2 linked regions of the Callithrix jacchus genome follow. The protein of the gene in region 1 interacts with the protein of each later gene in a pairwise test. Links are inferred from orthologs where the notes say so. Each region holds a gene or a part of one and is shown in the gene's direction. Other genes may lie near its edges.

The links.
Region 2: the proteins of CAMK2B (region 1) and RAP2B interact in binary tests that used the Homo sapiens proteins (3 or more experiments, as listed by UniProt). The two-hybrid records come from large-scale screens. The link is inferred for Callithrix jacchus from reciprocal best matches to the Homo sapiens genes CAMK2B and RAP2B.

Annotation. Positions count from the first base shown.
Region 1 is NC_133512.1:12,319,289-12,323,427, reverse strand, and holds part of CAMK2B (calcium/calmodulin-dependent protein kinase type II subunit beta), read left to right. Parts: intron 1-503; coding exon 504-606; intron 607-692; coding exon 693-776; intron 777-1,344; coding exon 1,345-1,439; intron 1,440-1,657; coding exon 1,658-1,780; intron 1,781-2,191; coding exon 2,192-2,275; intron 2,276-3,176; coding exon 3,177-3,219; intron 3,220-4,139. UniProt on the Homo sapiens protein: Calcium/calmodulin-dependent protein kinase that functions autonomously after Ca(2+)/calmodulin-binding and autophosphorylation, and is involved in dendritic spine and synapse formation, neuronal plasticity and regulation of sarcoplasmic reticulum Ca(2+) transport in skeletal muscle.
Region 2 is NC_133518.1:32,250,187-32,254,886, reverse strand, and holds RAP2B (ras-related protein Rap-2b), read left to right. Parts: upstream 1-1,596; 5' UTR 1,597-2,037; coding exon 2,038-2,589; 3' UTR 2,590-4,061; downstream 4,062-4,700. UniProt on the Homo sapiens protein: Small GTP-binding protein which cycles between a GDP-bound inactive and a GTP-bound active form. Involved in EGFR and CHRM3 signaling pathways through stimulation of PLCE1.

The DNA of each region.
Region 1 (4,139 bases):
CATCTCAGCAGGAAATACCTGAACCTCCCCTCAAGCAGCCCCCCAACATCCCAAGCCTCTGGGGAATGGTAAACAGGGAGGGGAGGGAGGGCTGTTGCAGCCCCTCAGCCAGTGGGAGTCCAAGGGCCACGGGAGCCCCCAGCCACTGCGTAGTCAGCCCCGGGCTGTGGGAACTCTCAGTTTGCTTGTGGTTTTGATCCACATGGCCCCCAGATTGCCCTTCTAGGGTATGGGGATCCAAGCTCAGGCTGAGAGCCAACGTTCGTCTAAAAGGCCAGAGCTGCTGTCCCTGTCCCCAGGGACAGAGGGGCTGTGGGCTTGCAGGCCCAGCAACTGAAACTCTGGGGTAAAGGCTCAGCCGTGCCCTGCAGACACTATGGGGCAGAGCTCAGACCTGTGCATCTGTCTCTTGCAAACCACTGTTCTCTCTGTTTTATGACCCACCCCCGTAACACCTCCGGGTTTAAACAACGTGCATCCTTGTGCGGGTCCCCTCCCTGCAGCCGGAGAACCTGCTCCTGGCCAGCAAGTGCAAAGGGGCTGCAGTGAAGCTGGCGGACTTCGGCCTGGCTATCGAGGTGCAGGGGGACCAGCAGGCATGGTTTGGTGAGTGCCAGGGGCAGGAGGTGTTGGCTGGCAGTCGGCAGAGCAAGCAGTGGTGCCGACAGCCCCTCGTGGCCTCCTCTCTCCAGGGTTCGCTGGCACACCAGGCTACCTGTCCCCTGAGGTCCTTCGCAAAGAGGCATATGGCAAGCCCGTGGACATCTGGGCATGTGGTGAGGCCTGGCCCGAGTGGGGGTGGGGCGGGCCTACATCCTGGAGCATGCAGTGACCAGCACACGTTGCTCTGATCTGGGTTTATCTGCGTCAGGCCTGCCCTTGAGCTGCCCTGGAGGGGGTCTGCCTACACAGCCGGGAGCCCCCTTCCCACCCAGGTTAGAATTGCTCACATACCCTGGTGCACCCCAGTGCTCGCCTGCGCTCAGCAGAGGTCTGGTCCAGAAGTGTGATGGGAGGACGGGAGTGGAGAGGAGAGGTCAGGGGCTGTCGGGCATGGGCAGGGCCACCTCCTTGGGCCAGGGTCACCTACCACAGAGGTGGGGGAGCAGCAGAGGGGGTTGGTGTCACCGCCATCCCTGTGATAGTGTGGGTGTGGGGCAGGGTATGGGGACTGGCTGTGCCTTTCTGCCCCAGTGTCTGCTGCACAGGTGGGGGCAAAGGAATGCTAGGGACCCCAGTGCCCTCCCAGGGCCACAGGAGCCAGGCAGTGAGGGCACAGGGCATGGGCTCCGTGGATGGTGGCATCCTGTGAGTGGCCAGGGTGCTCACAGGCCCTGTCCACAGGGGTGATCCTGTACATCCTGCTCGTGGGCTACCCACCCTTCTGGGACGAGGACCAGCACAAGCTGTACCAGCAGATCAAGGCCGGCGCCTATGACGTGAGTGCACCAGCCCCGCTCTGAGTGCTCCCTTCCTCTGGGTGTGGCTGGGTGAGGGCAGCATGGGAAGAGGCCAGGAGTGAGGTGAAGCCACCTATGGCCAGGTCCTGGGTCCTGCTGTCCCAGACTCATGGCCAGAGATGAAGCCCCTTGGATAATTCTGGCCCCTGCCCAAGAGGGGGCTTCAGGCCTGGCATGGGCACTGTTTCCTTCTGCAGTTCCCATCCCCCGAGTGGGACACTGTCACTCCTGAAGCCAAAAACCTCATCAACCAGATGCTAACCATCAACCCTGCCAAGCGCATCACAGCCCATGAGGCCCTGAAGCACCCGTGGGTCTGCGTGAGTCGCCCTTGATGCCCGCAGCGGGGAGGGGACTCCTAGTGGAGATGGCCTCGGACCACTCCCCTGGCGAGGGCCCCCAGAGGGTCCTATTCCTGACATCCAAGACCTCCCCTGGGTCCCCTGGTGCTCCTTGTGGCCTCTGGCTTGGAATGCACCGGCACGTTTGTGAGGCCTGGGGCTTGGAGGACATTGGAGGGTAGCAGTCGTCCCTTCCTCCCAACTGCAGTCCTGTCTGTGAGAGACAGAGTGGGCGAGGCAAGGGAAGTCCCAGGCAGGTGGGGACACACAGCCCTTGCTGCAATGGTGGCTGATCACGTGGGTACCCTTGGGTACTGCAAACCTTGCTGCCCCGGCCTCTCCCCTGGGCCTCGGGCTCCTGGCTGCCATGTGACCACCCTTTCCCCACAGCAACGCTCCACGGTAGCTTCTATGATGCACAGACAAGAGACAGTGGAGTGTCTGAAAAAGTTCAATGCCAGAAGAAAGCTCAAGGTAAGGCCCTGGCCCCTAGTCTCCGGCACTGCCATGCTTTCCTGTGTCCCCCTGGGCTGGAGTGGTGGGGCCTTGGAGGGGTCCGGGCAGACCGAGGGGCTGCTGCTACCCCCAGGACTGAGTGTTAGCAAGTCCCAGACCAGATGCATCAGGTGAACTCAGTCCAGAGGTGCCCTGGAGCAGGCGCGGCCCCTCCTAGTCGTCTGTGCCACCTCGGAGCACCCCTTGGAGGGATTGTCTTAAAGCACTTGTTGCGGGCTCTGCAGGCAGCACATGTCCCCTGGCAGTCACACATACGCTTTAGTACAAGTGAGTCTGAAGCTTCCGGCTCAGACAGGTTTGGGAGGGAGAGCAGAGTTGGGTGGGCTGGGGGAGGTCAGGGAGGGAGGTGGACACCAGTAGGGTATCTGACCTGCTTGCTTTGGCCAGGGCTGGCTCAGCCGCACCTGGGCAGTCCCTCTCTGCGTGGACTCCGGGCTGGGGCTTGCTGCCTGAGTGCCCTCTGCTGGTCTCTGCGCAGTTCTCCCTGGAACCCCCAGGACTGCTGCCCTTGTTCTGAGCCTACCAGGAAAAGAAGGGAGCTGTCAGGGAACCGAACCCCAGAGGAGCTGCCGTGGTGACCAGCTGTTCTGGCAACCCCTGAGGGATCTTGAAGCAGTTAGAAGCTATAGTTGGTCCACAGGTTTAGGTCCAGGGTCTGTGTAATTCTGGAAACAGGTGATTTATTTCAGTGCGGCTGCTGGGTTCCTGGAGCTCTTGCCTCTTTGGAAGGCTGAGGTCATGTCCTACAGGTGCCCATGAGGCTGGGCGTCTGGGCAGGTGGACGGGGGTCTTATGCTGGCCAGAAGCCAGCAGAGAACACTGGCGACACAGCCTCCATTTTATCTGTGTCTCTCCCCAGGGGGCCATCCTCACCACCATGCTGGCCACACGGAATTTCTCAGGTGAGCCTTTCTTCTCCAGGGAGACAGGCGCTGGCCGCTCCCTGCAGCCCATGCAGGAGAGCACCTCCTTCCTCACCAGTTCCCCCCTCCTCCTCTGCGGCAGGCCCGCCCTTGCCCTCCGAGTCTGCCCTCGGTTCTGACACCCACTGCCCACTTGGCCCCGCTGGGCTCCCTCCTTGAGCGACACCACAGGGTCCTGCCCCACAGCCCATCACCTTCATGCGGGGTCTGTGTCCCTCCACCCCCTGAACGCGAGCATCTGTGCCACTCACTGGGGCTCGCAGCGTCGCGTGTGTCTGTTCAGGCGTCTGTCGGACATCTGTGTGGCCTCCTTGTCATCTTGAGTGCTCTGAGCAGTGTGTTTTGTGCAGGAGGTGGGCAGAGGGATGCGGGGTGATGCGGGAGGCTCAGGGGCCTCCTTCCAAGTTCTGGATGAGCTGTAGCTTCCTGCCCCGGCCGCTCAGGATGAGTGGTTGGGAAGCAAATTCTCTTGGGGGAGGGGGGTCTGTTATAGACCCCCGAGGCCCAGGGCACTGGCAGACCCATCTGGGGCATGAGGTTAGCCCCAGAGTGGAGCCGGCAGCCCAGGCCTGGACAAGCTGTGCCCGTGGCTTCTCCGTCGTCCAACACTCAGTGTGCGAGCGTCTGTGATCCGTCTCTCTTGTTGTACGTTTGCATTTGGCACTCCCCAGCCCTCCCCCATCCTGTTACTTTTGCTGTGATGCTGTACTGCCGGGAACGCGTGCACACGGTCACACCAACACTAATAGGACTGTCCTGTCTGCTGTGTGCCCACCGCGCCCTTCGGCATGAGAAGCCCCCACTGGGGTTTCTAAGGAGAAAGGAGGCAAATGCTTTTCCGTGTCAATCAGTCCAATCCTGTTTCTATTCTCTCGAGCAAAGGATTCTGGAACCATCTG
Region 2 (4,700 bases), on another chromosome or scaffold:
GAAACCAGAAAGCAGTGACATCGGGTTAAAAAGAAAAAAAAAAAAATAGGCAGGACTGGGAGCCAGCGCTGACGCAGCTCCGCCGCCACCCTCCCCACCCCGCACCCGCGGTGTGCGCCGCCGCGCTCAGCCTGCAGACAGGTCTTGACATCCCTCCCCGTCGAGGAGCTAGGGAGACTCCGGACAAGTCGGGGCATCTCCCTCGCACCTCCCGGGAGCGCCTGCCCAGCCAAGTCTAGCAATTGCCCGGCCCGCCAGCGGAGACGCTTCCTCTGAGGCAAGCCTGGACACTCCCCAACCCCTCTGGGTGAAACGAATTCCAAGTGGCCCATTTCAGCTCCTCGCCCCTCCCACTTCCAGCAAAAAAACTTGGCAACTCTGCGGTCCCTTGCGGACCAAAACCTGTAATTAGCCCTTTGTGCTCCCTGTAAGGGGCAGTCCTGACTGGAAAGTGAGGAGTCAGACTCTCTCGAAAACACCAACAAAGAACTATATTTAGTTCTGAGCTCTCCGCCTAAATGCCTCTTACTTTTTCACTTTTACTTCAAAACGCCAGGGTTGGGGAAGTGGGAGGCAGGGGGCGGAGGAGCAGCGGAGAAAGAACAGCTGTGCCTTTGCCTCTCCGCTCAATCTCTAAAAATAACCAATCGCAAGCGGAGGCTACTTTTTAGCCAATGAAGCGGCCCAAACTGACAGAGCCTTGGCGGCAGCCAATGAGCAACACATAGGAGTGTGAGACTCGCGCCCCGGGACCAATGAGTGCGGAGTCTCGGAGAGGTAATTTGAGCTACAGTGTGGGTGTGTGGTGCAAAAGCTTCCTACTTCCAAGCCCCAAAACCCGCTCCGCGACTGAGCATGCCCTGAACTGTGGGGGCCACGAGACTTCTGGATTGGGGTGTGATCCGGTCTCCGGGTTTTGACCGCAGCCGAGCAGGGAGATGGGTAGGACCCGAGGGACCCTGCTCCCGGAGAGCTGCAGGTACCACAAGCTACCCTTTGCCTAGTCGGGGTAGTATTTGAGGCCTGGAGTACCTCCCGTTTTCTTTGTCCAAGGCTGCAGTGCACAGAGAAGGCAGAGTAGCGTTTCTGTGGCGAACGGTTTAGAAAAATCTGTGGGGCAGGGACGCTCCGCCGGCTGCGCGTGCATTCCACGGCACCCACAAGCCTTCGGGTTTCCGGCCCCCAGACACGCCCGCCCGGGGCTGGGTGAATGGCGTCCCTGGGCCTTTGATAACGGGAGTTGGCAGAAGCACAGCCTACTCCATCCCTGAGGCGGCCCGCGGCGCCCACATGCTTCTCGCAGAGCCGCCGCCCTTGTGCACCACTCCCATAGCTGTAAAAGAAAGCGGCCTGCTTGCTCCTTATGCACTTTCCTCGCCCCCTTGTTCGCACACACACCCCATCTCCTAGCCAGTTCCTAGACTCGCGCCGCTCCCAAAACAGGACCCAAATCCGGAGCCCCGCCCACGGCCCCGCGGAAAACCAGGAGCGGCCGCTCGGGCAAGGCGCGGTCGGAACGCACTGGGCATGCTCGCCGGGGCGGGGAGGGCCGGGTTGCGCGCGGCGAATAGGAAGCCCTCGCCCAGCAGAGGCTGCGGGAGAGAGCGCGATGGGCCGCGGTGGTGGGCGCACGTTCCGTGGGGACTCATGCCACGCGCGTCCCGGCCCGACGCGCAATTAGCAGCCACCTCCGCAGCCAGCCGCCACCGCCTCACCGCCCTCCCGGGCTGCTGCAGCGAGGAGCTTCTGCCGTCGCCTCGCGCAGGCTGCGGGCATTGTCCTCCCGGTTCGCTGCCCGGGCTGCTGCTGCTGCCGCCGCGGACTGCTGCGGGGCCCGGACCCGCGCCCCAGGGACACGCCGCCGCCGGCCGGCCCGGCGCCCGGCCCCCGCTCGGTGGTTTCTGCCTTGCGTTCTTCTCTGGGCTACTCTCTCCTGGGTTTTTCCTGTGGAGCTGAGGAAGGGGAAAAGAAGTCCAGCAGCCAAGCCCAGCCTTCCCCGGCGCGCAGCCCCGTCGGGGCCGGAGCGCTGACGGAGCCATGAGAGAGTACAAAGTGGTGGTGCTGGGCTCGGGCGGCGTGGGCAAGTCCGCGCTCACGGTGCAGTTCGTGACGGGCTCCTTCATCGAGAAGTACGACCCGACCATCGAGGACTTCTACCGCAAGGAGATTGAGGTGGACTCGTCGCCGTCGGTGCTGGAGATCCTGGACACGGCGGGCACCGAGCAGTTCGCATCTATGCGGGACCTGTACATCAAGAACGGCCAGGGCTTCATCCTGGTCTACAGTCTCGTCAACCAGCAGAGCTTCCAGGACATCAAGCCCATGCGGGACCAGATCATCCGCGTGAAGCGGTACGAGCGCGTGCCCATGATCCTGGTGGGCAACAAGGTGGACCTGGAGGGCGAGCGCGAGGTCTCGTACGGCGAGGGCAAGGCCCTGGCTGAGGAGTGGAGCTGCCCCTTCATGGAGACGTCGGCCAAAAACAAAGCCTCGGTAGACGAGCTGTTTGCGGAGATCGTGCGGCAGATGAACTACGCGGCGCAGCCCAACGGCGATGAGGGCTGCTGCTCGGCCTGCGTGATCCTCTGAGGCGGCTGCCGCGCGCCGGCCGCGCTCTGCGCACAAAAGCCAAACGCATCCGACTCTCTAAATGTGATTTCTTTCTTGCTTTGAGATTGGAGACCACTTTGCATTGGGCAGGGTTTCTTGGGAGCCCTGCTGGCCTCCGCGGCCGGCGGCCCCTGCCTCCACCCTGTGCTTGAGGGGGTGTCCCGTCCTTCCCAGCCGATACTCTGGTGGAAATGTGGCTCTTTGCAGCATGTACGTTTCTCCCTGATTTTGGTTGATGCATATTTCCCCGTTTAAGTAGCCGTTAGGGCGCAGTATCGGCAGCCTGACACTCACCAAGCAAAAGTTTCAGCCTGGGGGAAAAAAACCGGGGAGAGGTGTGGAGGAAAAGGAGGGGGAGAAGGTAGAAAGGGTTTTTCTTTTCTTTTTTCTTTTTTTGGTCAACAACCGTTTTTCTAGTTTCAAGTTTTAAATACATGGAAGGAAGTCCGGGAGAACCACATGAAGGAGCAGGAGAGGAAGAAACTTTTGTTTTTTCCTTGTTTTCCAGGAGTAGCTGGAAATTAAGATCGGGTTCCTTTTCTGCCAGCTTGGAAGGGCAACCCCATGACTGATTGCGATTCTGAGGATGTCTATGCAAAGTTGGATTCTTGTTACAGTGTATCCAATCTGAAGTATTGCACATCTGAACTGGGACTGTTAACACTGATGCCAATACAGTGTGGGGTGCCAGAAAGTGTCTGCTGATATTTGTGGAAAAAAAAAATCTATTTTGTTTACCTACTGTATCAAAGGGGAATCTGGGGGAGAACGGTAGTATTTTTTTTTAATCAGCTGTGAAAAAAATGTTACAGATCTGCACATTTTCGTGTGTACTATGGTATGTGTGTGGTGTGTGTGTGTGGTGTGTGTGTATGTGTATGAGTTTAGCCTTTTTGTTTTTGTTTTTTTGGTTGGCAGTAACCGATTTTAATGACTAGCTTTTTAAAATACAGTACAAAGACTTTGTAAATGTGATTCAGGGCCCCCAGCACCCCTGTGTCTGCAGAGTGCCTTCAAAACTCAGCTGTTCCAGCCGGTGCCAACCTGTGAACTTCCCACCATATCCCACAATCTGCTATTCCCCCAAACCACTTCCCAGTTTCCTTTCAGTAATCTTTCTGAAGGAGCCAGGACAATAGGGCCTGTTGTTTAGTGAATTTCTTTATTATTTTCAGCCTTTAAAATGTAATTTCCATCTTTTGCAATGAATTTGTTTTTTTTTTTTTTTTTTTGCTTCATTTTGTTTAAATTTTCAGGTATCTAGCTCCCCTTTTATATTATTTTTAATTTTTTTATTACCTGTTATAGGGTGTTCCTCCAGAAGCAAAGAGCAAAATTTTACTGTTGTGATGTACCAATTCTAACTAATTGTAATTTTTAATTTCATGCGTTTAATCATTGTCTCTTCATTTTAAGACTTTTAATACAAATGTCATTTTTAAAGAAACAAATCCAAAACTATTGTTTGTGTTTCTGTGTTTCATATTCAGTGATTAATACAGTATCATAGCTGAGGTGGATGGGGTAGGTGCAAGATACTCTCCAGAGCTATTTGTCAAATTTTGAAGACAGAAGTGTCTCAGTGATAAGTTGGATGACATTACTCCCAACTTCTTAAGTTTGGAGAAAATCATCAAGGTCAAGGAAGCCCTGGGTATGGCCATTCCCATCTGATTAGAAGATGAACAGGTATTTTGAATCTGATCTGACATGGAACAGTTTACCTCATTGTGGGTAGGGAACAAGAGAACTCAGCTATTAATATTGCCTTAGATCTGGGAAAGTAACCATCCATCTGGCAAAGTAGGATGGCACTTTTAATTTTTTTCTTCCTTTTTTCCCCCATTTATATTACATGTCATGTCAAAAATGTATTTGGGAAAGATGGTTTTCAATTCTGAAGTCATACCTAGTGATGTTTTTTGCAGTACATTTGAATGGGTTGTAGACACTTGTCTAAACCCTTTTGAGATTTTGTTTTGGAAATAGATTTAAAAGAAAACAGCCTAAGATAACATTGTTTTTCTCATTTACACCCTTCAGTTTGTGGACCATATTTGACCTCATGAGTTTTTCCTTTTAACAGTAGG